Oryctolagus cuniculus: one gene and its partners. The protein of the gene in region 5 purifies or fractionates together with the protein of the main gene of each other region. This does not show direct contact. Links are inferred from orthologs where the notes say so. Each region holds a gene or a part of one and is shown on either strand. Other genes may lie near its edges.

Region 1 (3,297 bases), on a different chromosome or scaffold from region 5:
CGGCGTGACTTTTCAGATATATTTTTGGGAAAAGTCATGTGCTAGATTTAATAGAAAGATAGCAAAGCAAAAATTACTGCTCCCCACTCCTGCCTCACCTTGTAAATTCTATGTAGAATTATGTTGCAGCTTTGGCAAATTCCACAAGTTAACATTGCCTCACGACCCTCCCTAACCCCGTCAGTGTGCTGGGGAACAGATCAGAAGAAGCAGTGCAGTTGCTGACACTGGGAGTGCGACTGCTGCATGCCACACACAGAATTCTATGTGTGACTCACTCCCAAGATGAACCTTGCATGTCACTGCCTTTGACAGATCAGAAAACTGAAAGCTTTCAACAGTGTCAATGATGACTATGGGGAAAAAAAGCGGCTTTGAAACCCCTGGGTTCATGGAGTCTAAGAATACGGCCTTGCCTGGCACTCACATACCACCAGTTGCGAACAAAGCTCTTTTAAAGCTGGAATTAAGATTAACGCATGGTCAGAAACACTGATATCATTATTATCTGTACTAACCTGGAGGGGCCCAAGACAGCTTGTCAGGTGGAATTTATGAACTCCAGTACACAGAATGGTGATTTCTTCAAGATGGCAAGTAAAACTTTGGGCACGTTTGTGAAATTCAGTCAGTAACCTTACTGCTTGAGACCAATACTGTTCTCAAAGCCAGAGACGTCTTCAGCTGTCATTATAAAAGGGGACAAAACTCAAGACCCAGCCCAGACTATCACAGAAAGCTTTTATTACTGCAGAGGAAATTGGGAAATGCTGGAGACCATCCACACACAGCAACCTTGATAGCGTGTGTGATCAGGGAGGGGACGCAGAGGGAGCCCTGTCAGCCATGTCTGGGCAGTCTCCCACCCGACACGTGTGCTTGTTAGGAAAGATGTGCGCATGTGCGCGCATTTGTGTCTGTGTACGTGTGTGTGGTGTTCAGAGACATCAGTCTTGACAAGCAGAATTTCCTAGACAAAGGACAGCCAGAACTGGGGATAACAGCTGCACAGAAAACCTTAAAATCGAAATCAAATTAGGCTCATTTTATCAGGAAGTGCGTATTACTCTGATCATGAAACAAGAGCAAGGAGAGAGCGCTATGCTCTACTGTACAGCCTTTCCTTTAGATAAGCGGCTTTGAAAAGTTAAATATTGGCAGGCCTTGCTTCTTGTTAACAGCAAGCAGCACACAATTTCCAAGGCAGCTTTTAACACTATTGTTATCTTTGTTATCTGTTGTTATTTGGATTTTGGACAAAATTGATAGAGTAGGAGCCAGTGGAAGAATCCTGTTTGATCTGGAAATTTTCTGTGGAGAGCCCAAAAGGTCGGAGAACCAAGTTCCCGAGATCTTTTAGTTTACCTGCAATGTAAAAGCAAAAACTCAAATGAATACAGATTGAACAGATGCCAGAAGACACCAACTGATCCTGCCTCACTGATTAAAATATAAAAATTATCTCTGCAGTTAAAGAAACGCTGGCTTTTAATGACAGGAAACCTGCCAGGAGAGTGCGCAGTCCCTATTCCCCACTCAGTGGGGCTGTCACTGCTGATGTCAGTGTCATCCAGCCCTGAGCCTGTGTCCATCAGCTGATCTCCTGCTATGGTGAGAGCTCCCAGCCACGCCTCACCTGCCCAGCACTGATGGCAGAGGTTCCCCCAACAAGCCTATTCTCTATAAAACAGCAGTTGCCACCTGCTAAATTTAATTCAACTCAGCCAATTTCTTCTGAGCCTAGATTCAAACTCAATAGTTCTGGCTTTTCCAAGCAAATCCTGGACATACCAAATTTATCATTTCCTGGGAAATGGGATCCTGTTTACTTGTATAGGGCTGTCAACCTCCATTGTACAGTCCAGTCTCCTGACCCCAAGTTTCAGGTTTTGCTAAGTAATTGCTCCTAAGTGATCTCACGTCCTAAAGTTGAGACCCATGGGATAGCACCTGGGATTTTTATGCTGTCTTCACATACAAGATGGCCATGGTGTTTGTATATCAACATTTGGGACTTCTAGGACATTTCACACATTTACTAAATTCAAATGGCAATGGGATGGAATATTTGAGATTCAGAGTATTCTGGAAAGTCTCAGCTGAGATGGGTGAATAAATAGTTTCAATCATTTCTCAACTGTCATTTTTTTTTTTCCTTTCAGGTCAGCTTCCAATGGAGATGAGAATGGGGGTAGACAGAAAGAGAAATCCTTAATGATCAGAGAGGCACAGGCTCCTTCCCACTGCCACACCTTTTAGCAGCTTTTCTCACTGGAGGCCTATTACTAAACTAGAGGCCAGGTGAAGAAGATGATGCACGACCTTTAAACTTTAAAGGGGCCTCTCTCCTGAAGCGTGATGAGAACTTGTGATCTTGGTCTTAAGATCTGGCCCACAGAGACACACTGAGTTCAGAGAGGCTTGCTCACTCCTAGAGAAAACATCAATAGACAAAGCTCCTAGAATCTGGGATGACCATGCTCCAGGCAGGTTTCCCAAACAAACCTGGGCCACCCACGCTCACTGCTGCTGCTCAGGAGAGGCACTGGCACACAGCAGCAGCACAGGCTCAGATCAGACTCAGTGGACAGATGCCTGGTAGGGGTCTCAACAAGCAAGGACATCACAGGGCATCTTCAAGAAAACGGAGCTGGCAACATTGACCTAGAACTTTGGCAGTCTTTGGTTTTGGAGAAGAGAACAGGTAGGAAAAACTGATTTACAGACGTACAATAACTGGCTCTTGTGACACGGAGAGGGGAGCCTGAGTCAGGGCAGCTCCATCTTGGAGAAGCCTGTTCAGGGTCTCTCCAGACGGTCAACTGAGCCACAGGCACCCCCTGGAGAAAGGATCACTGTAAGCCCATCTCCAGAGAAACACCTTGAAGTAAAAACTGTATATTTACTTGCCATCTGTTGTGGGAGGCACAGATAATTGAAGAATAAAAGCAGCCGCCAGCTTTTGAAGATGTCTACGGGCAGTGGGGAGACAGACACGAACGCCCAAGGTGAGCCCAGAGGCCTCTCGGACTCGGTGCAGGCATAATACAGCCTTCCCGGGCCAGGCCGTGCATTGCACTGACCTGAAGGACAGCATGGCAGGTCCCAGATGACAGTGCCTTGCGCCTCCAGACTGTGCTAAGCGTGGGTGGCAGCAGCTTGGCTTTTGGCTGTTCTGCTCTACAGGCAAAGTCTTCTCATGTAGGAAGACTGTCCAAGCTAAGAGTGCATGTAGATGAAAAGGGAAATTTTGTTTCACAGACCTTCACTTTGCCTACCTGGCTCAAAGACCTGTTT
Region 2 (4,705 bases), on a different chromosome or scaffold from region 5:
GTGACCCAGTGGACGGAAGCTCTGTCTCCTCCTCTCCACTACTCTGTAAACTCTGCTCAAATAATCATCTAAGGAGGGAAAGGCCAAGAACAGAAAATCCTGGGCCTCCACACTACGACAGTGAGAGCGGCAGCTCCTGGGCCAGCCGCGTGGGTGGACTGGATTAGGCAGTACAAAGGTTGCAGCCATCACAACAGACCCTGAAGGCCCAGAAGCAGCGTATGCAATGTAAGGCACCCAACGCACAGCTTCCCCACAACTTAGCTTGGCGGTTACCCAACTGGCTTCTTCCTTAGAGACAGACAGCAAAGGCCGGAACACACCTCGGCTTAAAAAGTCCAAAGGGCAAGAGGACGCTGGGAGGTAGGAGACAAAGCAGACGAGAAGGCCGCGTACTCACCGGACCTCCCCAACGATCTCCCCCGCCAGTCCCTGCAGGCTGCTCCTCAGCTCCTCCACCTCCCGCCGCAGCGCCACCAGACTGTTCAGCACGAAGTCCAGGCGGTCCAGCACCTTCTCCTGCCCTCCCTGCGCCGGGCCGGGCAGCGCCGCAGCATCGCCAGCCTCCCCTGGGATGGCCCGCAGCAGCATCGCTGCAGGAACGGGAACAGGAGGCCGTGACGCCCCAGCCTTCCAGAAGGCTCCCGTCACATGGCAGTGCAATGTAGAGAAGACCCCGAGCCTCAGCAGTGAGCAGACATTCACGGCGACGTCAGGGTAACAAGTCCCACCCAACTACCCAGAAAAAGATGAAGGCCCCAATTTTTTTTATTTTTTTTTTTTTATTTTTTTGATAGGCAGAGTGGACAGTGAGAGAGAGAGAGACAGAGAGAAAGGTCTTCCTTTGCCGTTGGTTCACCCTCCAATGGCCGCTGCGGCCGGCGCATTGCGCTGATCCGACGGCAGGAGCCAGGTACTTATCCTGGTCTCCCATGGGGTGCAGGGCCCAAGCACTTGGGCCATCCTCCACTGCACTCCCGGGCCACAGCAGAGAGCTGGCCTGAAAGAGGGGCAACCGGGACAGAATCCGGCGCCCCAACCGGGACTAGAACCCGGTGTGTCGGCGCCGCAAGGCGGAGGATTAGCCTAGTGAGCTGCGGCGCCGGCCAGAAGGCCCCAATTTCTAAACAAGAGCCCTCCGCTCCTAGAGCCTTGCACGCCGGGGTCCTTGAGCAAGGCTGTGCAAGATGGCAGATAAGGTGAAACGCTTCAGGAGTCCAGCACCTAGAGGAAGGGCAGCCGCTCTGCTCGAGTTTCTTCACACGACCTTACCTTACTGATGGCCAAACACCAGGCCATCAATCCCGCACCAAACTGCAAAAGTCACACAGCGCACCCACATTCTCATCTCTCACTTCAACAGAACAAGGAAAACTGAGCTCCTGACAGCCTCATTTAATGATATGAGAGAGGAGCAAAGAGAAAGCTGCCCTGGAGAAAGTCCATCCAAGCCGCTCCAGACGCCACGACCAAGCCCCACTGCCCCGACGCTGGATCCAGGGGTCAGTAAATTCCAGCAGTGAAATGCTAGCAGCTGCCTATGGCGACTGGAAAACGTAAAACCAGAAAAAACCAGAGGAGCAAGACACACAAGTTCAAGGGTGTCCAGGCAAGCATAAAGGAAATCCAGTAACAATTGAGGCCAGCCTACAATACACACCCAGCAATGTTCAACAATGCAGAGCAAGAGAGATCGCTGGCAAGGGGGCTACTCTCTCCTGATCTGAGTAGAGGAAAAACTGCTGAAGTGCAAACAAATCCCACGGAAGGGACAGGCAAGACCAGCACCCTTGCAATACTGGGTTACCGCCAGCTTACAGAACGCTGGCAGCGGCTGCAATCGGATGCTGACTCTAAAGCCGCTTCCAAACCAGGTGAGATGGATTAGAGGAAACACTCATTCCCAATTAACACAGGGCGAGATGATTTAGCGCTCCCCCATCACACCAAGGTGAAAGGGTGGGGGGAGGGGAGGGCAGCGGCCTTGAACCGGTCGTAGATGCTTGGCTCACACCAGTGAGTGCGAAGTTTTGCAAAACTAAGAGCACTACTCATTTCAGCCGTGGCTGACTTCCAGCACCTTCCACTTCAATTGCATGAAGCGTGCGTGCCCAGCTCCAGGCTGTGGCAAGTCCACTGCACCAGGTGAGAGGGCCCAACCTTGCCACTTCACTTACTCTGTGATGACCTCAGAAAAGTTACACAATCTTTATCAATCTCAGTTTCCTCCTAAGAAAGTTAAAAAACGTATTTGCCTCCGAGTTTCCTCGGAGAATATCAATATCCAGACTTTTAATTCCAACAAGGTTAGCTATTCCTTTTGTCTTCTTTGGGGCTCTTCCTCTGCTCCACACCTCACCCAACACAGACAGGTGCCTTTAATGCCCAGAAGCACCCCTGCAGCCAGAACCACAAGCGAAAGCGAAGCCGCCTTTTCACTTTAGCCACTGCATAGAGGAAAGAGCACCGCGGAGCGAGAGGACAGATTTCCTTTTCAATGAGTTTTCCAAGAAAGTGCAAGCCTCGGGCAGCCCCTCCCTCCCCCTGCCTCCAGGCCCGTCAGTCTGCAGCGGCCTGGGTCTCCTACCCTGGCGTCCAGGCTCTGGAGTCCGCCCGTAGTCCAGGGCGTTGGGCAGGCTCTGGCTCCGGCCATGGCGCTGAGTCCGTTTCCACCGCCGGCTGTAAAGGACGCACAGGAATCCAAAGCCGGCGGCGGCGCCCAGCAGCAGTCCCAGCCCGGCCCGGGCGCCGCCCAGAGCCCCCAGTCTAGACATGTTGCACCTGCAGCCCGCGAAAGCCACCGGGAGCAGGCAGGCAGGGGAGGAGGAGGGAGATTCGTGAGCCTGGGCCACCCACTCCAGGAGACTCCCCTCGCCCAGACCCTGAACTCCCGACTACCCTCACCCTTATCCGGATCCTAATGCTCCGCCAGTCCCTGGGTCTGACTACTGCGCCCCTCACCCAGCCCAAACGGAGCCCCCCATCCAACACACCCCTTGACCCAGACCACAGAGTCCTCCTCCTGCGTAGTCAGCCTCAGGACGCTGCAAGCAACAACCCGCCTCCCTGGCTGCAAACGCCTGGCTTCCCCGGCGTCCCCTAGCCCGGCAGGAGATCAACTCGACCCTTACCCGGCCGCCAACCACCATGGCAGCAGCCGCCGCTGCCTCACGCTGTCAATGACCGCGACGTCAATGAGACGGCGCCACGAGCTCCACTCACCGTAGGAAGGCGCAGGGAGATGACCTCACGAGGCTCCGCCTCCAGCCCGGACTTTTCCCCGGGGGGCGGGGTCTCGGGCCGGCCAGAGGGGTGTGGTCTGCGGGGAGCGGGAAAGAGAAACCGCGGAGGAGGGAAGGGCTGGGGGAGAAGGAAGGCGGAGGGAGCTAGAGGACGACTTGGCCGGTGCTGGAGCAGGAAGCCCGCGGTCTGGCCGAGCCGACGTCCGCTTTCCTCAGCCCCACCAGCCACCTGTGCCCCGCACAGTCCCGCTCCTGCCTACCGCGACCCCTTCGCTCGCCTCCCTCAGCATCGCCGTTCGGACTTCGGTCCATTTCGGCTTAATTTAATAGCGTGTGGGTTTTTACCGAGGACGGACGGCCGCGCCTGTGGCTGGTTTTCGCGGCGGCCCGAGTCCGGAGGGCCGGCTCCCGCCAGCTGGCACTTGAGCCTCCGCTCAGCAGCGCACGGCCAGCGCCGAGCCGTCAGTCTGGGGCCTAGCGTCGCTGCGTTGTACCTTACCCAGGAACGGAATTGGAAATGTCCGTTTCCAGAATGGATAGGATCTGTGAAATTTATTTCCCTAATGATAGCGATTTGGGGTGAGGCTGAAACTTGACATCCGGTTGCTTAAACCGGTTTGAATGTCATTGGGGATGTTTGTGTTTTATTTATAATGTGTTTTAATCAGTTTTTTTGTGTGTCCACCAGTGGCCCATAGTTTTTTGGTTTTGGTTTTGTTTTCTAATTCGAAAGGCAGAGTGAGAGAGAGAGAGAGAGAGATCTTCCGCTGGCTGGTTCACTTCCCAAATGCCCACAACAGCCAGGGCTGGGCCAGGCTAAAGCCAGGAGCCAGGAACTCCATCTAGTCTCCCACATGGATGGCAAGGTCCTGAATCCTTGGACTATGACCTGCTGCAGTCCCAGGTGCATTAGCAGGGAGCTGGATCCGAAGGGGGGCAGAGGCTCCAGCCAGACACGGGGTCAGCAAATGTCTGCATAACCACGGTGCATGTCGACCCCTGCCCCTCACAGATCACTGTATGGTCCATATCACTCTTGTGACTTTGTGCAACTGCCTTTTTCTTTAAGATTTATTTATTTGAAAGGCAGAGTTACAGAGAGGCAGAGAGAGAGAGAGGTCTTCCAACTGCTGATTCACTCCCCAAATGGCCCCAAAGGCCAGAGCCAGGAGCTTCTTCCGGGTCTCCCACGCTGATGCAGGGACTTGAACCGGTGTCCATAAGGGACACCGGCATTGCAAGTGGCAGCTTTACCCCCCACACGGACATCCCACATGGGCACCTGTCCATGTTCCAGCTGCTCTACTTCCTATCCAGCTCCCTGCTAATGACCAGGGAAAAGCAGCAGAGGATGGCTGAAGTCCTTGGGCCCCGGCAAACCACAAGGAAGATCTGGAAGAAGCTCCTGGCTCCTGGTTTCATTGCAGCCATTTGGAGAGTGAACCAGCAGATGGAAGATCTCT
Region 3 (2,803 bases), on a different chromosome or scaffold from region 5:
CGCCCTGCGGTGGGCGGGAGGCTGCCTTGCCTCGATTCCTCCGTGGCTGCCGCCAGGGCTGGGCCCCGGGCCTGCCAGGGCGTGCTCCCCACCCAGCCGCTCCCCGTGAGCTCGCCCTGCTGGGTCTCCGGCCAAGCCCGTGAGCAGGACGGGCCGTGCTTGTCCCCGCAGAGTCCCAAAGGCTTCCTGGAGAGCTACGAGGAGCTGCTGACCTACGCCCTGCGGCCCGAGACCTGGGCCACCACCCGGCTGGAGCTGGAGGGCCGCGGGGTGAGTGGGCGCTCCGGGGTCCCTGGGCCCTGGTGGGGGAGGGGGCGGCCGTGCTGCTCTCCGCCTTGGCTCTCCTCTGCTCCTGGCGTCCTGCCCGGCCCGGCCCGGCCCCGCGGCTCAGGCCCCGCCCCTCCCAGGTGGTGTGCATGAGCTTCTTCGACATCGTGCTGGACTTCATCCTCATGGACGCCTTCGAGGACCTGGAGAGCCCGCCCGCCTCGGTGCTGGCCGTCCTGAGGAACCGCTGGCTGTCAGACAGCTTCAAGGAGACGGTGGGCCGCTGCTCCCGCGCCAGCCCCTGCCCCTGGGGTCGGGGGCCGCCTGTTGCTCCCTCCCTGCTCCCGGGAAATCCAACCAGAGCAGGACGAGACAAAACAAGCAAGAGAGGAGACTAGGATGAGAGCGTGGCGCAGACGCCGGCGGGGCCAGCAGTGACCCCGGCAGCCGGCCAGGAACCTGGGCAGGGGGACCCCTGGGGCAGACGGTGGCTCAGTCCTGGGACCCGCAGTCCCGGGGCCGTACTCAGGTTCAGGTTTTCCACGTGTCTGATTCGAATCCAGGGGAGAACGGCAGGCACCAGGCCCATGTTCCTGCTGGGGGGCGGGGGCCGAGGGCCCAGCCTGTCCTGACAGCAGGCTGGCCCTCCTGTCTTTGATTAGGCCCTGGCCACTGCCTGCTGGTCGGTCTTGAAGGCCAAGAGGAGACTACTGATGGTAAGTGACTTGACAGGCCCCGGGGACGCCGTGTGTCCAGGGTCCCCTCCTGGCGCCCAGCTCAGCTGCCCCCTGTGGGTGGATGCTGGCCCCTGCTCTGAGGGTGCGGGGCTCACCCAGGGGCCTCACAGAGCCCCCAGGCCCCACTGCACCTTGGCCCTCGTCAGTCCCGGCACCGCTGCCCCCTGCCTTGGCCAGGAACTCCCCAGAGGAACCTGTGGGACCACATCCGCCGTCAGGATGTGTCCAGGCCCCGCCGAGGGGCACGGGCATCCTTGGGGGGGGGGGCCGGTCCCTGCAGCCACGGCTCCATCCACACCCCCCGGGCAGCCGCCGGCTCCGCGGCCCTGTGCTCCGGCACTTCCTGTGCCACGCCCACCACAGCCCCGCCTCGCAGCACCCCGCTCACCCCACCTGCAGAAGGGAATCTGGGGCATCAGGGTGCCTCGCGCGGGCGGGACACGGCCAGCTCGAAAGCCCGGCCCTGGCCCCGCCGCCCTCCACAGGTGCCGGACGGCTTCATCTCCCATTTCTACTCCGTATCGGAGCACGTTAGCCCTGTGCTGGCCTTCGGCTTTCTTGGCCCCAAGCCCCAGCTCGCCGAAGTCTGTGCTTTCTTCAAGGTAATGGGGGTGGCTCCTGCTCTCTCTGCCCCAGCACAGGGGCCCGGGGGGCGCCAGGGACGGCGCCAGGGACAGCGCCAGGGCTGGACCTGCTCCTGGGCTGGGAGAGCACGGGGGGGGGGGGGGGGGGAGGAGTCTGGGCGGGGGCGGGGCCTCGGCCCCCACTGACGCCTGCCTGGGCCCCCAGCACCAGATCGTGCAGTACCTGCGGGACATGTTCGACCTGGACAACGTGCGCTACACGTCGGTGCCGGCGCTGGCCGAGGACATCCTGCAGCTGTCCCGGCGCCGCAGCGAGATCCTGCTGGGATATCTGGGGGCGCCGGGGGCCGGCAGCGGCCTGAACGGGGCGCTGCCCCAGGAGAACGGGCCCCTGGGCCAGCTGCAGTAGTGAGCACAGGCCGGGTGGGGGCGGCAGTGAGGGGGCTGTCCGGCCCCTCCTTGGGGTCGGTATCCGGAGGCCCGGACCCTGCCTGGGAGTCCCGGGGGGCGGTCAGCAGGGCCTGGCAGGGGTGGGACCCTGAAACACCCACACCGCAGAGCTGCTGGTGAGGGGCTGGGAGGGACCAGGAGGACGGTGGGAGGCGGTAGGCGGGCTCTGCGGTGATGGTCACGGCGTCCTGAGCAGGGAGCAGCCCGGGGCCGCCTGGTCACAGGGCCCAGGCTCCCACACTGGGGAGCAGCAGAGGAGCCAGGGCAGGGCGGGCCCTCGGCAAACGCAGGCACTAAGCTGGGATGCTGCCCTGTGGCGTTCCGCGTCCTGCCGAAGGCTGACACTGACCCTGCCACCGCCAAAGACGAGGGCATGTGGGGCGGGGGGCTCCCGCCCGCCACCCACCGCCCCTGTGGCTGGGAACTCGCTGCGGGTCAGCCCTGGGGTGCTCCCCAGCAGGGGCAGTCAGGGGATGAGCAGGGCTGGACCAGAGCGAGCCTTCAATCACGCACACACAAACCCCGGGCCCCCGCACATGGCTGGTGGTGGTGCCTGAGCTGGGGACTTTTATTTATTGCCTTAAGACTTTTACTTTGCGCTTCTGCCCCTTCCAGGCGTCCGGCCTGCAGAAGCAGCTCCTGTTCCTGGCCTCCCGGTCTGGGGTGAGAGGCCGGGGCAGGAGGGCGCACCGAGGGAGGGGACGCTGGGCGCGGCCCTGGTGCCCTCCCCCACCCCGACATTCCGTTCTTTTGCACACCCCGCGC
Region 4 (4,846 bases), on a different chromosome or scaffold from region 5:
ATTATCTCAACATCAATTCTCAGTATAGGCCAACTCTAAAGCAAGGCCAATCTGGATTTTCATGGCTACCCTCAAAAAGACCTATAATCACAGAGCCAGCCTTTAGCCCACATCATTTTAGACACAAAGAATAAAATGACTTGCTATTTACTGCCCTGCTTAAGCGACTGTACAACTAATTCTTCATATATGTAGTTCCAAGCTATCAGCCACATTCAAATCATCAATATATATTCTCCAATCCTTCAGAATCCTGATGTACTAAAGATGTTCAAGTATACAGAGTTCATTACCAGCATTCAATGTGTCTTCTATTTTCCCTTGAAGTGGATACCCAGCCTCCCCACCCCCACCCCCATTTACTAAACTTCCTATAATTTGGGATTGGGTATCACTTTATTTTCACAAAACAGTATAGAATTTCTCTGTTGTTTCTCTGCAAGAAAACAGTTTAACACGAAAGTATCGGCGGAGGGGTGGGGGTGGGGGACTTCTAAACAGCCATTAGTGATCTCCAAATCATAATGCTGAAGATCAGAAAGGAGTTTAAGTATTAAAGAAGAAAAAAAAGAAGGGTATTAAAAATCTGTATGTAGCCAGTAAGGCAGGAGATATTTGTCCAAGTATTCAAAAACTAAAAGCGTAAGGAGGCAGAAAAAGGATACACTAAAGTAAGAACAGGAAAAAGGAAAATTCTGTCTGGGCCAGAAGCTCCCAAGAACCCCAGATTAGGGCCTCTAGTGACCCTCGATTGAGACCCACACAAATTTTGCATTTGCAGAGTCACTTAATTCCATGGTGCCACTCACTGAGATTACTCTACCTTGAATAGATTCCATAGGATTTTCTGATTATCACATCATCTGAAACCCATTATTACTCTTCATTTCTCTGAATCATGGGATTTCATAATGCCAGGCTTTTTGGAACATAATGTTCAGTTGTCTCTTTCATGCCTACCTAAAGATAATCTTGAACAATGTGTTTAAGATTCATTAATGTTAGGCCAGCGCCGCGGCTCACTAGGCTACTCCTCCGCCTTGCGGCGCCGGCACCCCAAGTTCTAGTCCCGGTCAGAGTGCCAGATTCTGTCCCGGTTGCCCCTCTTCCAGGCCAGCTCTCTGCTGTGGCCAGGGAGTGCAGTCAAGGATGGCCCAAGTGCTTGGGCCCTGCACCCCATGGGAGACCAGGAGAAGCACCTGGCTCCTGCCATCGGATCAGCGCAGTGCGCCAGCCGCAGCGTGCCGGCCGCGGGGGCCATTGGAGGGTGAACCAACGGCAAAGGAAGACCTTTCTCTCTGTCTCTCTCTCTCACTGTCCACTCTGCCTGTCCAAAAAAAAAAAAAAAGATTCACTAATGTTTGGACTTTTTCCCTTTAAAAATTATGTAGAGAAAGGAAGTGGATGGTTGAAGGACAGCAAAATTAATACTGTTCCTTTTGCAAGCTTTGCCTTTTGTAATTCAGAGCTTGCACTTTCCTCCTCTGCCTAGTGGAAGTGAAGTTTAGTGGAAAAAGAAAGCCAAGAATTCAGCGTCCTGATTCCACTATTTACTCCTGCTATGTGATTTTGAGCAAATTATTTAAAAGCCTGCAGCCTCAGACTCCGAAACTGTGAAATGGGAATATTAAATAGGGATAATGAACACCGACCTTGCAGAGTTACTGAGAGTAAAAGGAAGAGATCACTAGAATGGAATAAAAACTCAAGAACAGAGAACAGTGAGTATCTTCATTCCTGTTGATTCCTGCTGGCATGGAAACGCACATGGCAGGAGCTCAATATTTTTTAAATGAGCGAATAAGTATGTGTTCTCATTTCATCAACATTAACCCTTCTTCCATAATCACGTTTTTCCTTTGCCTTCTATTATCTCCTAAAGCTCTCAAGACATTCTATTTTGTTCTTTTAAGTGGCTTTCTCCCTCTCATTGACTATTATTAACTACACACCATTCAAAGAAGTACCTTTGGAAGTCATTTCTCTCTAATTCCACCCACATTCCATTTCTAATGCAGCGGGGGCAGAGGGGATAGTCAGACAAGATTCGCAGTCATTCAGCCACTTGCCCATGGCCACTGACCCGTGTTAACGACATGAAGCCTGAAGCCAGACCACCCCAGAATGTAACTTTCAGGGGCCACCGCACCGCCCCTTTTCTCTCCCTGGGCTAACAAGAGACTCGGGTGTAGGACATGCTCGGCTCTCAAAAGTTAGGCAGTCGGTTACGCTTGCCTCCCCCGGTACAGGGGTGTGTCCCTTGCAGGAGACACTCAACCTGGACAGAGAGGAAGGATTTCGGATCCCTTGGTGTGGGTCGGGCATGACCTTTAGACCTGGCCAGTCTCGTCTGGCCACTGCTCTGAGGAAACAGGAGCTCTTCACTCCCGGGAGGGAAGCTAAGGGGTGCGGCCGTTCACAGAGCCTGAGGGGACAGTGTAAAGTCCATGACAACGCGAGGACACAGAACAGCCCGCACGACCGGAACCTTTCAGCCACGACCACGACCGCCCCTTCTATTCACAACTGCGCCGGACCCCACCACAGCCTAACACCTGACCCCCCAAAATAACGCGGCTCACCCCCCCACCCCATAAATCAGACAGCCAGTGCCTGCTGACTGGTTGTGCCCGCATCTCCTTCACCCTCATTGGCTGTCTGGGACGCAAAGCCCTCCCCGACGAGGGACCCTCCCGTTCGGCGGCACCCCCAGCCCAGCCACCTCAGCCCGGCTATCCGAGACCCCGGCCCCCGCCTCCATCCAGGGAGCGCGCGCCGGAGGCGCTCGGAGCTTCACCCGAGGACTCACCGTGTAGTAGGAAAGCAGTCCAGCGTTGTAGTCCAGTACGAACCAACGGTACTGCCAGCCCTTCATCACGTTAGTCCATTTGCTCAGCGGCCCTTCCACGATGGACGCCATCTTGGGAGCCGCCAATGACAACAAACGGCCTGACGTCACTCGCCTATATGGCTTTCAGCATGCGGGGGGCGGGGCCTCCACGGGCTGGGGCGGGACAGGGGCGGAGTCTGCAGCGGCCTCTCCGTGTGGATTCCTCGAGCCACGCCCCCTGCGATCGCCTTCGAACCCCTGCCTTTTGGTGCCTATTGTGTGTAGGACAATATGCCAGGGATACGAAAATGCAGACACATAAATAATTTTATAAGCAATGCTGAAAAGACTTCACATCTGATATTCATTTGTGCATTAATCCCACGAATTCAGTCGTTTAACAAATATTGTATGCTAAGCACTCTTCTAGGCTTTGGGGTAGAGCGGAGCCTTCTTGATGGGTAACAGGCAAGGCATAGTAAGTTATATACTAAAAAATGGCATGTGCTATGGAGAAAAATTAAGCAATGAAAGAGAGAGAGAGTTAAGGCTGCTATTTTAAATGCCTAAACTGGGAAAACCTGAATAAATTAACTTTCGTGTTGTTGCTGTTGGTTGGTTGGTTTTTTTTTTAATTTATCTTCATGCATTTCATAAATACAGCTTTAGGAGCATAGTAATTCTTCCCACCGTACCCGCCCTCCCACCCACACTCCCACTCCTCTTCTTCCCTCTCCTGTTCCCAGTCTTGTTTTTTACTAAGATCTATTTTCATTTAACTTTTTAATACACAGAATATTAACTCTATTCTAGGTAAAGAGTTCAACACTTTGTATGAAGAAGAAAAAGAAAGAGAGAAAGAAAAAAAAAGTTTCTCCAAGAGAAAGTAATTTTTGAAGAAAGACCAGGAAAAAGTGAAAGAGGGAGACTGGAAAAAAGCCTTCCCAGGGGAAGGAATAGCAAGGGTGAGGAGTGAGTGAGTCGGCAGTAAGGAAGAGCAGCAAGGAGGTCATGCGAGTGGCACAGTGAGCTGGGGAGAATGTAGGCGAAAAGTCACTTACCGCCTGCAAGGGCAGTTTCAGTATTTATTAGCCACCTACAGTAGCCAGGCGTTCATAGTGCAAGACCCTGGGAATACAGCAGTGAACAAGCCAGATAGGTACATTGCAATCTAAGAGCTTACATTCTATGATGAAAGCAAAAAACATTAAACAAGTAAGCAAGAAAAGTATGCAATACCAATAAACCCTTTGCAGAGGATTTACTAAGGTGACTGACCCAACAGAATAGAAAGCCAGGGCGAATGGTCAGTGCAGGCTTCTCAGAAAGTGGCATTTAAGCTGAAACTGAGATGTGGAGGATGAGAAAGTGTCAATCATGCAAATATCAAGGGGAAAGAGCTAAAAAGCAAGCTGGTGAATGGAGGCATTAGCTAAAAGTGGAAGCGAGGTCGAGGAGGTCTTTTTTTTTTTTTTTTTTTTTTTTTTTTTTTTTTTTTGATTGAAGGAAGTAGTGAATGTTATTTTGCTGATTTCCAGGAGAGGGAAAAACTGGTGACATCCTGGAAACAGGAGAGACTAGCAACAGTGAAGCCCTCCATTGGGCTGAGACTCCCTAAGCCCAGGTAAAAGAGCTGACCTTTGATAAAAGCAGAGATACTTCACCCATAGTAACAAGAAAGGGAGCTGAGAGTATGAGTTCAGATACCAGTTGGTGGGTAGTTAAGTGGAGGAGAAATGAATGAGTTTTGCCTGATTCTAGTTAAGTGGAGGCTCAAAGCTTAGTAGTTAAGAATGTGGACTCTGGGGCTGGTGCTGTGGCATAGTGGGTAAAGCCACTGCCTACAGTGCCAGAATTCCATATGAATGCCTGGGCTCTGGTTGAGTCCCGGCTGCTCCACTTCGGATCCAGCTCTCTACTATGTCCTGGGAAAGCAGTGGAAGATGGCTCAAGTACTTGGGCCCCTACACCCATGTGGGAGACATGGAAGAAGACCCTGGCTCCTGGTTTTGGATT
Region 5 (3,413 bases):
GTTTCCTGGCTTCCTCAGGATCTCAGAAGGATCTGGAACTCCCCCTCGCGTGAAGAACCACTGTCCCCTCAGCAGAAGGTTCTCGACTGTTTAAAAGCTGCTTTAGGAAAAACTGAAAGTAAAATTGGAGGCTAAAAGTAAGACGCCATTGGTCATTTCGAATGCTTCCCGGGCCCCGCTGCCCCTCAGTCGCTGGGGTGGAGACCACTCTGACTGTCCTCTGCTGCTTTCCAAGCTGAAGACGGCGAGGGGAGCGAGCTGCAGGCTGCTGGCTCATTCCCCGCGTGCCCGAGACAGCTGGGGCAGAGCTGGGAGCTGGAACTCAACCCAGGTCTCCCACGGGCATGGCAGGAACTCCAGTCACCTGGGCCAGCACCTGCTGCCTCCCAGGGAGCTGGAACTGGGGATTGAACCCAGGTACTCTGGTGTGGGCTGTGTCTTACCTGGTGCACGGCTGCGGGGCCAACTCCCGCACCTGTGGTCCATTTTAACACAGACGTGGTCCTGACTCGGAGACCAGCAGTGTGAGCAGCAGCGGTCCCTCAGACTGGTGGCGCCGGGTGTTCTCACCGTTTGCAGGAGGTGGGGCTGTGGAGGGAGGGCCCCGACTCCAGCTCGTGGCCGTGGCGCCGGCCGGTTGTGTTGTGGCACGGAGGCCTGTGGTGCCAGTGACCTCGGCCTGTGCCCGGCACAGCGTCTGTCAGGCTTCCATTTGAAATGCTTCAAACGCCCCTCCAGCTACAGAGGTCTGCGTGTGCTCCCCACACGGTACTGGAGAGAATATCCCGAACACCTGACGGTGGGTGCTTTGGCTCCACTTCTTAGGCCTGCCCGTGCTCTTGTCTTGACCGTGCCACGCGAGCATGGGACAGGTTTCAGTCTTAGCTGCCGTGGCGCCAGGCGCACAGGAAAGACGCACTCCAGTTGGTCGTTCCGACAGCGGGGCAGGCGGAGGGAAGCGGCTCCGTCTCAGTGCCTCTTCGCAGCTTCTCTCTGCGAGGAGTAGGTTAGGGAGCCGGCACTTGGCTTCTTGGCTGAATAGCTGAGCTAGGCCTGAAGCTTCTCCCTAAGTACGTCTCCCTCCAGAAACGGTTCTGCATGCCTGCAAGTGAGGGACAGCAAGTGCTGTCACTGAACTGAGATGGGCCGTGCCCCGTGAGCAGGTGTCTAAGATATCATCAGAACAGTCTTGCCGTTGGAAGATTCTTTGTCTTGCCAGACCCTGATTCTTTTGCGCTGGCTCCTTGGGTGTGGCCAACATGTCCCTGAGTCTCTGCTGTGAGCAGGCCCTGCCCTTGAGCTCTGTGGATGGAGTAGCAAGGAGACACTGAGACAGACAGCGGCCTGTCCGGGTGCGAGACGGTCCACAGGCAGAGCAGCGAGTTGCAGGGAAAGTCAGCGTTGTGGGCTCCTCTGCCCGTGGCCTCTGCACCTGCGAGGCGCGTGGGTTGAAGGAGAGGGGAAGGGGGCTGTGGGGTGCAGATGGGGTGGTGACAGGAGATGGGCAGGATGGAAGGCCCGGCCGCAGGCCCCGCGTGCCCTGCTGTCTTGGGCCCAGAGGTGAGGGAGGAGCAGAGGTTCCGCCCCGACGCAGCCTGGTCGTTGGGGGGGGAGAGGGGGTCACGCATCTTTGTATTTGTGAGAAAGAATGTTGCTTTTGTTCATGAGAAGTCCGAGCCTTACATGGAAAGTGCTGGACGTCCAGTCACGGCTGAATACTGCAAGCGCGCTGTGTTCTGGTGGGCCGGCTCCTCCCGGAGCGTCTCAGGGCTCCCAGGTCCCCGCTTCCTTGTTCCTGGTGCTCCTCTGTTTCAGGAATCGATGACCAGGGTAGCCTGTTCTCAGCGTGGAGGACAGAGGAATCAGCGCTGGGCTAGGGGAGAGGAGGAGTTGGGAGACGTGGACAGGGTACACATGGCCCCGCTGGCCCGAGACCTCCCTGTAAACCACGGGGAGCCAGGGAGCGCCCCGTGAGGGCAGGGGGCTGGCATCAGGCATAGAGAGCCAGGGAGCGCCCCGTGAGGGCAGGGGGCTGACATCAGGCATAGAGAGCCAGGGAGCGCCCCGTGAGGGCAGGGGGCTGGCATCACAGGACAGATGAGGGAAGAGGGCCCTTCCTGGGGGTGAGATCCGGGAGACCGCACGCACTGGCTGACCGCCCTTCCCGGGCCCTGTCTGTCTGTCTGGCTGACCGCCCTTCCCGGGCCCTGTCTGTCTGTCTGACTGACCGCCCTTCCCGGGCCCTGTCTGTCTCTGCAGGAAGAAGACGGGCTTCGCCTGAGGAAGACGGCACAGAGCAACAGCCCCATCGCGGCCCTGGCCGCCGCCGGGAAGGACGAGGGTCTGAGTGCCCGGCTGCTGGCCCTGGTGGTCCTGTTCTTCATCGTGGGGGTGATCGTAGGGAAGATCGCCTTGTAGAGGCAGCACGCGGAGGGTGGGTCTACCACGCCATGGGATTTGAATCGATCATAACCTTGTGTAAAAAGAAATTAACCTACGATGACATCTCACAGGTCTTGCCTTTAAATTACCCCTACCCCCCACGTACACACACGCCCAAGTACACACACAAATATAACATACTCTAGCAATCCTTAGAAGGGAGCACTGCGTCGTCAGTGGTCGGGGGATGAGTGGTCTGCATTGACGAGGGAGCTGTGAGGGCTGCCGCAGTGGTGAGGTTTCAGCGCGCTGGGCCTCGGGCGGTGCTGCGAGGCGGGTGCCCCTCCCTGCCCGGGTGCCCCTCCCTGCCCGGGTGCCCCTGCCTGCCCGGGTGCCCCTCCCTGCCCGGGTGCCCCTGCCTACCCGGGGTGCCCCTCCCTGCCTGGGGTGCCCCTCCCTGCCCGGGGTGCCCCTCCCTGCCCGCCGGTGCCGAGGCGGGGTGCCCCTCCCTGCCTGGCGTGCTCCTCCCTCCCCGGGGTGCCGAGGTGGGGTGCCCCTCCCTGCCCGGGGTGCCCCTGCCTGCCCTGGGTGCCCCTCCCTGCCTTGGGTGCCGGCGCTGTGGCAGCAGCCCCTGTGCCTGGGAGCCCCCGCTGCCCACTCCCTCCCTCGGATGCTCTTCCGCGTCCTCAGTCTGTTCCCTGGGACTGGTGGAAAGAGGCGGGCGCCCGGACAGCAGCGTCTCAACCCGGAGGCCCATGCTGGCTGAACCAGCACTCAAACAAGTCAACGCTTCGTTCTCTTAAAGGGACCACGCTGAATTACTGTTGGTTCATGTAGTGAAATCGAACTGTTGTTCAGAGATGTTTAATGCATATTTAACTTATTTAATGTATTTCATCTCATGTTTTCTTTTTGTCACGAGAGTGCAGTTAATGCCGTGGCCTGGAAATCATCCGTGCTCCCCCAGGCCCAGGCGCAAAGCTGGCATGGCCTCTGCAGGGCTGTGGCTCCGTCTCCGGAGGCTCCCGCGC
Region 6 (4,117 bases), on a different chromosome or scaffold from region 5:
CTGGATCAGTCCAGGAGCAGCAGGGACATGGAACTGGTGCTCATACGGGATGCTGACAGCACTGCAGGCAGAGGCTTAGCCTACTATGCCACAGCACCGGCTCTGCTTTTAACATTTTAAATTTAGGTTTGTGATAAGTAGGTAACCATCTTTACCTTTGATTTCTCCAATTTTCCCTCTGCTATATAAAGAAGAACCGTATCACTAATACACTTTATCTAATAGATACTCCTAAATTTGTATAGATAGATAGATAATTATCATGATTTTGGAATTGAACTGTACCCTTGGCCAAACCTGAAACACTGCTCTCTGCTTGTCTGTATCTTAATTTCTACAGCTTTTATGAGCAACTAGCTTTTGATTACTCGTTATCTGTTTATTATTCAATCTACCAAGTTTAAAAATGTCTTCTGTAGACTTATTTATTTTTATAATGATTTTTGTTTTAGAAGTAGTACACATTGATGTTAAACTTTATAAATACAAGAAAAAGGGAAATAAAATTATCTGTATACCTGATATCGAGAGCACTCCTTTTTTAACTTTTTGATGTACTTTTTCCTACTTTATTTTTGTGAATATGAACACTTATTTTGCAAAAATGGGTGATACTGTATTTGCTGTTTTATAGTGCTGTTTTTCTCATATTGTGAATTATGAAACTCCTTGCCATTTACATTTTTCTGTGCTATGTTTTTTAGGGCTTTAATTATAAGATATTTTATATATATATATATGTCTATTTAGCAAGCTATTTATTATAAAACATCAGTTTTTCACTGCAATTTCAAGTATTGTAATTCATAATACTTGTTCATGTAATTTGAAAATTTGGGACATAAAAAGGGTTATAGATATGCTAGAAACTCACATGAAGACATCATTTTTTCTTTTAAAGATTTACTTACTTATTTGAAAGGAAAAGTTACAAAGAGAGAAGGGGAAGAGAAAGAGAGAGATATCTTCCATCTGCTGTTTCACTCCCCAAATGGCCACAACAGTCAGGGCTGGGCTGATCTGAAGCCAGGAGCCAGGATCATCTTCTGGGTCTCCCAGCAGGTGCAGGGGCTCAAGCACTTGCATCATCTTCTGCTGCTTTCCCAGGCCATTGCAGAGAGCTGGATTGGAAGTGGAACAACTGGGATTTGAACTGGTACCTATATGGGATGCAGGCGCTGCAGATGTTGGCTTTACCCACTATGACCCAGAGCTGACCCCTCTTATTTCTTTCTTTTTAAGATTCATTTACTTATTTGAAAGGCAGAGTTATAGAGAGGGAGAAGCAGAGGCAAGAGAGAGAGAGGTCTTTCATCCACTGGTTCACTCCCCAAATGGCCACAACAGCCAAGGCTAGGCCAAATGGAAACCAGGAGCCAGGAGCTTCATCTGGGTCTCCCATGTGGGTGCAGGGCCCCGAACACTTAGGCCGTCTTCCACTGCTTTCCTAGGTACATTAAAAGGGTGCTGGGTTGGAAGTAGAGCAGTTGGAATTTGAACCGGCGCCCATATGAGATGCCAACACTTTTGGCAGCAGCTTAACCCTCTATGCCACAGCACTGTCCCTGAAGGCTTATCTTTAAAGAAACTGATGTCTTCAGAAGTAGGCAATAAGAAATCTATTTCACATTAGATTGATTCTTTTTGTACCATCATATGATTGCCTTTAGCCAAAGTTCTGTGTATTGAGAAATTGAAATTTGGCTAAGAGGTATTGAATTTTTACTGTTGTGATTTTATTAACCAAAGTATACATTTAATTATAAATCATTACAATCTAATAAAATTATAGAAAGAGAAATGATGGCATGGGAAGTTTCATAATACAAAATTTGGTAGAAAAAGTAGTTTAAAAACAGAATATACAACATGTATTTTGGCAAAGTAAGTATTTTTATACTTACTGTTATTCTCATTTATGCTACTCAGCTTTAATTTTTTATAGCTTTACCATGTATAATAAAGTTATTCTTATATGTTAATACATTTGTGATATAAGTGATATTTGGTGGTTATTTTGGTTATACTTAATAGGATATGTATTTAGGTAATCTTTTGTTATTGAGCATTTGTGTTAGGCAGTGCTGTAACAAAAAAATCTCAGGGTTTTTAAAAAATAAAATTAGCAGGGCCGGCGCCATGACGTAGTAGGTTAATCCTCCACCTGCAGGGCCGGCATCCCATATGGGCGCCGGTTCTAGTCCTAGCTGCCCCTCTTCCAATCCAGCTCTCCGCTATGGCCTGGAAAGCAGTAGAAGATGGCCTAAGTCCTTGGACCCTGCACCCACGTGGGAGACCCAGAAGAAGATCCTGGCTCCTGGCTTCGGATCAGCACAGCTCCGGCCATTGCAGCCATCTAGGGAGTGAACCAGTGGAAGGAAGACTTCTCTCTCTGTCTCTCCCTCTCACTGTCTGTAACTCTACCTCTGAAATAAATAAATAACTTAAAAAAAATCAAATTAGCAACGTAACTAATAAAACTGACAAATTTTATTTTTATAAGGTAGAAATAAATTATTATCCGAACTATTAATGAAATATAAAATCATTATTATTACTGTATAGCTATGCTAATTTGTAACCCCAAGTGATCTGTATATTTAATGTATGTTTCCAATAGGTTCATTCCAGCCAACAAATGAAATGATGCTCAAGTTCTATAGCTTCTACAAACAGGCAACTGAAGGACCCTGTAAACTTTCAAGGCCTGGGTTCTGGGATCCTATTGGAAGATACAAATGGTAATTTTACTTATAGAGATATAAAAAACAATTTCATTTTGATGAACTGATGATCTTATAATTCTTATTTACATGGTTATATATTAATTCTGGACACAGACTGTCCCAGATGTAATTTTTATTCTCCATGCTCTTGTCATAGAATTTTACACAAACAAGAAAATGCTGGGGAAGACAGGAAAATAGTAAGACCAATTCCCAAACTAAATTAAAGAAACAAACTTCTCTGCCTCTTTTAGCTGCCAAGAAAAAGAATGACTTGCTTTTCAAGTGACACTGTTTGCTTTGAGACTTTAAGATAATAAATAACTAGGATTATGACTCGGGTGCTGCCACATTAACTTTTTATCTCAGCTGTCACTCTTAACCTACTTGACTTTAGAACACAAATTTGATTTTTAATATGCTTGAAAGAATCATAAACTATTGAGGTACCTCTGCCATTTTCCCAATTGACTAATATTTGTTACCCTTAAATATGAGCGCACTTCAGAAAATCTCTTTAAACTGCTAGAACTATTGGGTCCTTCATATTACTGAAGACTTTATAGAAGTTTTAGACTACACTTTGTCAGCACAGTATGCTAATTGAGGAATTATGTTTTAAGAGCCCCTACATGCTAAATTTTTCTTTGAGAATGGGAAGGACTATCAATTCATTTGATGATCTTTTAGTACTATACATTTCCAGTAGGATCTTTATGAATAGTAGCAAAGTAATAGTTTAATGAAATAGTAATATGCTATTTGATATGTCCATTTTGAGAAAATTTGTCTGCTTCATTTTTTTTCCCCAGAACTGATCTTTGGTAGAGTTATACTCCTACTGGACAAAACATAAAAAGTTTAGCAGTTTTTGTGTTAGGCAAAAATTTCCAAGGACTGTTCTTATTACCTGGGGGTTTAAAGTTTTCCTGTCCCTGACATTTTTATTTTAGAAGTGAGAAACCATTTTCATTTTTAGTCCAAATATGTAAGTTAGGATTAATTAGTGATTAATCAATTAGTAGAAACTTCTAAGTGAAACTTGTGATCATTTGGGGATGAGGATTGTCTAAGGCCCATGAAATCATTTGGTCTGGACTACCAACACAACTAGAAGTGGGATCTGAAATTCAATAAATCTGTAACAGGTTAATTTTTGGCATGATAATTTTGTATGGCCTGTGAATGATATTATAAATATCCAAATGGCCCTTGATATAAAAAAGGTTTCCCACAACTGATAGAACATGGTTGTGATAGTTCATAGTCTTCTAAAATGTTCATTTCGGTTATTACTTACAATGATATTAAGAGTTCTTAGAAAATATTCATGAATAGTGTACAGTCTTTGTGGTCTTTTAAAATATAAGTAGGATATATATTTATTAGTT
Region 7 (4,117 bases), on a different chromosome or scaffold from region 5:
AAAAATATAAAAGGTGAGAAGCCAGCATTTCTGATCGGGACAGTCACATGCTCTTATCGATATGCTTGGGTTTGAGTCCCGGCTTTTCCTCTTCCAATCCAGTTTCTGGCTAACGTGCTCCCTGAGAGGCAGCAGATGATAGCTCCAATACTTGAATCCTTGCCTCCGACATGGAGTAGGACTGAGCTGCAGGCTCCTGCCTTCAGTTTAGCCAGACCATGCTACTGTGGATGTCTGGAAATGAGCCAGCAGATGGAAGATCTCTGTCTCTTTATATATACATAAACAATGAAATGTGGTGCCTCCTTAAGAGAAGAGAGAGGAGCTACCATTTCTGTCCTGGCTCAAACTGCTCCAATCTCATATTCATATAATCTCTGAAAAACTCTACTGAATGCTCCTAAGAGAATACAAATTAAAATGATATAAATGACTGAATATTATTACAAAAGTAGAATTTGACCTCATGAATTTCAGGAAAGGCCTTCCAGGATCCTGGAACACATCTTGCAATGATTGAACTAAAAGTATCAATAGATATGTATAATGTCACTCTATACAAAGATATTTAACCATTTCCTTACTTACTTCAAGACTTAAATTCCACTGTCTCTTCCCCTCCACTCTTTCAATCAGTGGTTCCCAGACAGCATGGGTCTCATTGTAATAATGAACCTGGAAAGGCACAGAAGTGTAATACATGACTTTCTCAACTTTACTTACATATTTCTGTAACCAGCTGGAAAAATATTTAGTAATTGATATTATATCTCAATAGCCATTTTGAAATTCACTTAAAGACATAAAATTATAGAGCATCTTTTCATTTACTCTATTACTTGTTGCAACAAAAAATTATTTAGCAAAAACTCTTTAAAAATAAGTATGAAAAAATACTAAGCACCAACAAACCAAATGTTAGAATATATTCTCCATCCACTTACATACTTGATGTGGCTAGGTATAAACAACAAAGGCCTGTATCTTCATTCCGCAGCTGTACTTTCAAGAAGCTGGCTCTGGACTAAGAGCTATGACCATACCTGTAGTGTCATGTCAGCAGCAGCAGCCATCAGGGAAGTCCAATTTTTAATTTTTCCTGAAAACTTAGACTCAGCCAGTAATAAGGGTACAGTTCGATGTCCAAGGCCGCATTCCAAGGTAACCTGAACTGTCTCCACGGCAAGAGTACAATTCTCTTCTATGAGAGGATTTTCAATGTCTTTGAAATTTTCAGTTATTTCTGTTGCCATGTCAACACCAAGAAACCAAGAATTATAATCATTAATAGACTTGATACTCCAAAGGTTTTCCATTTCCTTAGTTGTATCTTTGGATTCAACTTCTTTTGGTTTTGGAGACATGGCAGCCATGATTGTCATTACAGTATTAAGAATTATGGGTGAAATCTTTAAAAAAAGAAAGCAAAAAATGTTCAGAATAGATTCTTTCTCAGCTGAGAATTAACAAATACAGGACACAAAAGTTAAAAACTTAAAATGTAAATGTGTTGAATCTGTAACTCAGGAACAAAAGAGAGAACACAAAATCATGTGTTGTGTCAACTAACTGTACCACACAGATTTCCACTCACTCAGTTATCTGGAACTAATTTGTGTTACATATTGAAACTTACACTGATCACTTCAGAGTAAAATAATGTTATATGAATGGACAAATATGAGAAGTGTAATCAACTTTTCCATTCTTCAAGCAGCTGTATTAAGTAAGCAAAGTGCATGATCTTTTGCTGAGTTATACACAGATAGCTCCCTTTTATCTTACTGAAAATCTGTGAGTTGCGCCTTATTTGGGAGCAGTATCTTTGTTCACCTTCCTCACCATGCTTTCATTATACAAATGATGGTACTTTGTGTGTCCACTCATCACCCTCCCAACTGCTACCAGCCATTTCATTCTTAGGCTTAAAATCTTCAACAACTTCCTCTAACTTTCAGGACAAAATACAAACTCTCCATATGGCTTGGTACACAAAGCTCCTTGTGACCTAGTGTCTAATCAGCTAGCCAGAGATCCCCACAGTTCAAGAAACACTGAGTCATGTAAGATAAATGCAGTCCTTCACATTTCACTTCTCTCCACCTCTACTTACCCAGTATGCTAAAGAGACGTAATTACATTACCAAAAGGAAGACCTAGTTAGCAACACTTTCCTAATTTCCTGTCAACTAAATGAGGTTTCTTCTTGACTTATTATACTCACTAATATTTGATGACCTCAGTCCTAAAAACTACCACACCATCTGTCTGGACATATGGAACTACTACTCTAAGTGCTTAAAGAATTATTTTCATAATTCATACTGTCAGTTCTGTCTGGAGAAACCTCCCCCCTCCCTTTCCATCTTTCTAAGTTTCATTGCCTTTCCCAACTTAGTTCAGGTAGTCTCACCCCCAGTTTTTCCTGATGTCTTGGTCTGAATTAGAGGACCTGTGCTCATGCTCGCAATAGCACCTGGAGCATGCCTCAACTGAAAGCTATAATCACTGAGTTACTTACTTCCTTCTCACACACATGTTTGCTGAATAAAAAAGTTTTGTACAAAAAAGTGGAAGGTCCTCTTAGTACCTAATCTAGTACTTCAGGGATTTAAATATATGCAAAATTCAAGGAATTTCCCCCCATTTGCTACTTTATATCCTAAAAGTATAAATTCGTTAATAAAACAGAATCTAAGACTACATCATGTTTTTAAATATTGGACAAAAATTACAGTGTTGCATACATGGTACATAAAATGAAATTAATGTGAATTTCAATTCTACCACTGTTGGTCAAAGACCTATGAATAAAGCTACCATCATTACTGGCATTAACAATCTCATTTCTGTGTCCTCTGGACAGAAACAGATTTCAGAAAGCATTCTGTATCTTCTATTTTTACCTGGGTATAGGGTTGTACTTAAAAAATACAAATGTTGCTAAAGAACAGAAACTGTTTTTTCAATACTTTAAATATAAGGGATTTTTAAAAAAAATTCTAATTTATTTCTACCATACATTTGTTATTTCAAATATTTTATGAACCAAACAAAATATCAGTTATGAAATTCAAAATATACTTAAATAAAAGCCTAAAAGTAACAATAACAGCAACCTCCTCTAATTCTTTCTCCTCCCACCCCAGCTCTGCTCTCCTCTCGAACTCAACCTCTCCAACACACACGTGCAAATATAACAGAACACTACCTTGTTCATTCATAAATATTAAAAGTGCTCTTACAGAGAAAACAGAAACAAACATTTGCATTTAAAATATATTTTAATGTTACAACTATTTACTCATTACTGAACGTGACTATCACTGATACTCAAATTATGAAAAGACAGCAAAAGATATTATCTCAAGGAACAGCAAATATATAATATTGTTACAAAAACAAGAATTTTTACCCAAAAATATGACAAGCACTAACCTTAATTATAAATTCTTTGACCATAATATTTATATTTTGTTTTCCTGAAGCCCATGTACATTTTTCCATAAATAAAGAGCAGGGATGCAATACCTAGTAACAAATAAGTGAAATTCATATGTCTTTAGTGATCAATTCATTATACAATTAATACATACTTAGAAGAGCCACAGCGTATTTAACTTAGCGCTTTAACTATAGTCTACTATCAAAAGCAGAAACGCAAGGCAAACTAGCTAAGAAGCTCTTGGTCAAACTCTGAACTACAACAAATTGTGAACACTATACAGCACTTGAAGCACTTCTGATGGATTTCTTTACACCAAATCCTTAAGGGAAGGTGTACTTCAATAGCAGAAGTTTAAAATGTCTCCTCTTGCTGAATCATATTTCACAAGATGCCTCCTGTAAGTAGCTGTAAAAATCAGCTCAAGAATGAGGTAAGAAAAGTAAATGAAAAGTCTCTGGATAATTAACAGGCCAATCTTCAATATCATGTTATGTCCTTATTAGAATAAATTTCAAATATTCAAACTTGATGAGATATTAAAAATATAGTCTATGCTCTCACATATCATTAAACAAATAAAAGAACCATGCCTCTGAACTGACCAGAGTAATAAGAATTATTACATAATTTTCATTTTTAAAATAATGAGGATAAGTTTTAAATGCAGTA

What was found.
Region 1: the proteins of VAPB (region 5) and TTC1 purify together in Homo sapiens (affinity purification with mass spectrometry; 4 studies listed by BioGRID and IntAct, counting the BioPlex papers as one, with this or other methods). This does not show direct contact. The link is inferred for Oryctolagus cuniculus from reciprocal best matches to the Homo sapiens genes VAPB and TTC1.
Region 2: the proteins of VAPB (region 5) and RMDN3 purify together in Homo sapiens (affinity purification with mass spectrometry; 4 studies listed by BioGRID and IntAct, counting the BioPlex papers as one, with this or other methods). This does not show direct contact. The link is inferred for Oryctolagus cuniculus from reciprocal best matches to the Homo sapiens genes VAPB and RMDN3.
Region 3: the proteins of VAPB (region 5) and MIGA2 purify together in Homo sapiens (affinity purification with mass spectrometry; 3 studies listed by BioGRID and IntAct, counting the BioPlex papers as one, with this or other methods). This does not show direct contact. The link is inferred for Oryctolagus cuniculus from reciprocal best matches to the Homo sapiens genes VAPB and MIGA2.
Region 4: the proteins of VAPB (region 5) and OSBPL9 purify together in Homo sapiens (affinity purification with mass spectrometry; 7 studies listed by BioGRID and IntAct, counting the BioPlex papers as one, with this or other methods). This does not show direct contact. The link is inferred for Oryctolagus cuniculus from reciprocal best matches to the Homo sapiens genes VAPB and OSBPL9.
Region 6: the proteins of VAPB (region 5) and ACBD5 purify together in Homo sapiens (affinity purification with mass spectrometry; 4 studies listed by BioGRID and IntAct, counting the BioPlex papers as one, with this or other methods). This does not show direct contact. The link is inferred for Oryctolagus cuniculus from reciprocal best matches to the Homo sapiens genes VAPB and ACBD5.
Region 7: the proteins of VAPB (region 5) and VPS13C purify together in Homo sapiens (co-immunoprecipitation; 3 studies listed by BioGRID and IntAct, counting the BioPlex papers as one, with this or other methods). This does not show direct contact. The link is inferred for Oryctolagus cuniculus from reciprocal best matches to the Homo sapiens genes VAPB and VPS13C.

The regions. Positions count from the first base shown.
Region 1 is NC_091437.1:47,008,689-47,011,985, reverse strand, and holds the end of TTC1 (tetratricopeptide repeat protein 1), read right to left. Parts: exon of another isoform or gene 2,216-3,297; coding exon of another isoform or gene 2,163-2,215; intron 1,366-2,162; coding exon 1,232-1,365; 3' UTR 728-1,231; downstream 1-727.
Region 2 is NC_091443.1:63,896,604-63,901,308, forward strand, and holds the start of RMDN3 (regulator of microtubule dynamics protein 3), read right to left. Parts: upstream 3,231-4,705; 5' UTR 3,132-3,230; intron 2,782-3,131; 5' UTR 2,775-2,781; coding exon 2,588-2,774; intron 1,793-2,587; exon of another isoform or gene 1,661-1,792; intron 594-1,660; coding exon 401-593; intron 1-400.
Region 3 is NC_091432.1:232,203,283-232,206,085, forward strand, and holds part of MIGA2 (mitoguardin 2), read left to right. Parts: intron 1-171; coding exon 172-270; intron 271-407; coding exon 408-542; intron 543-929; coding exon 930-983; intron 984-1,489; coding exon 1,490-1,606; intron 1,607-1,793; coding exon 1,794-1,997; 3' UTR 1,998-2,803. UniProt on the Homo sapiens protein: Regulator of mitochondrial fusion: acts by forming homo- and heterodimers at the mitochondrial outer membrane and facilitating the formation of PLD6/MitoPLD dimers. May act by regulating phospholipid metabolism via PLD6/MitoPLD.
Region 4 is NC_091438.1:121,320,123-121,324,968, forward strand, and holds the start of OSBPL9 (oxysterol-binding protein-related protein 9), read right to left. Parts: upstream 2,966-4,846; 5' UTR 2,921-2,965; coding exon 2,810-2,920; intron 1-2,809. UniProt on the Homo sapiens protein: Interacts with OSBPL11 to function as lipid transfer proteins.
Region 5 is NC_091442.1:3,747,806-3,751,218, reverse strand, and holds the end of VAPB (vesicle-associated membrane protein-associated protein B/C), read left to right. Parts: intron 1-2,259; coding exon 2,260-2,418; 3' UTR 2,419-2,510; downstream 2,511-3,413. UniProt on the Homo sapiens protein: Endoplasmic reticulum (ER)-anchored protein that mediates the formation of contact sites between the ER and endosomes via interaction with FFAT motif-containing proteins such as STARD3 or WDR44.
Region 6 is NC_091444.1:103,234,391-103,238,507, reverse strand, and holds part of ACBD5 (acyl-CoA-binding domain-containing protein 5), read left to right. Parts: intron 1-2,620; coding exon 2,621-2,741; intron 2,742-4,117. UniProt on the Homo sapiens protein: Acyl-CoA binding protein which acts as the peroxisome receptor for pexophagy but is dispensable for aggrephagy and nonselective autophagy. Binds medium- and long-chain acyl-CoA esters.
Region 7 is NC_091443.1:84,938,935-84,943,051, forward strand, and holds part of VPS13C (intermembrane lipid transfer protein VPS13C), read right to left. Parts: intron 3,532-4,117; coding exon 3,439-3,531; intron 1,410-3,438; coding exon 1,044-1,409; intron 676-1,043; coding exon 589-675; intron 1-588. UniProt on the Homo sapiens protein: Mediates the transfer of lipids between membranes at organelle contact sites. Necessary for proper mitochondrial function and maintenance of mitochondrial transmembrane potential.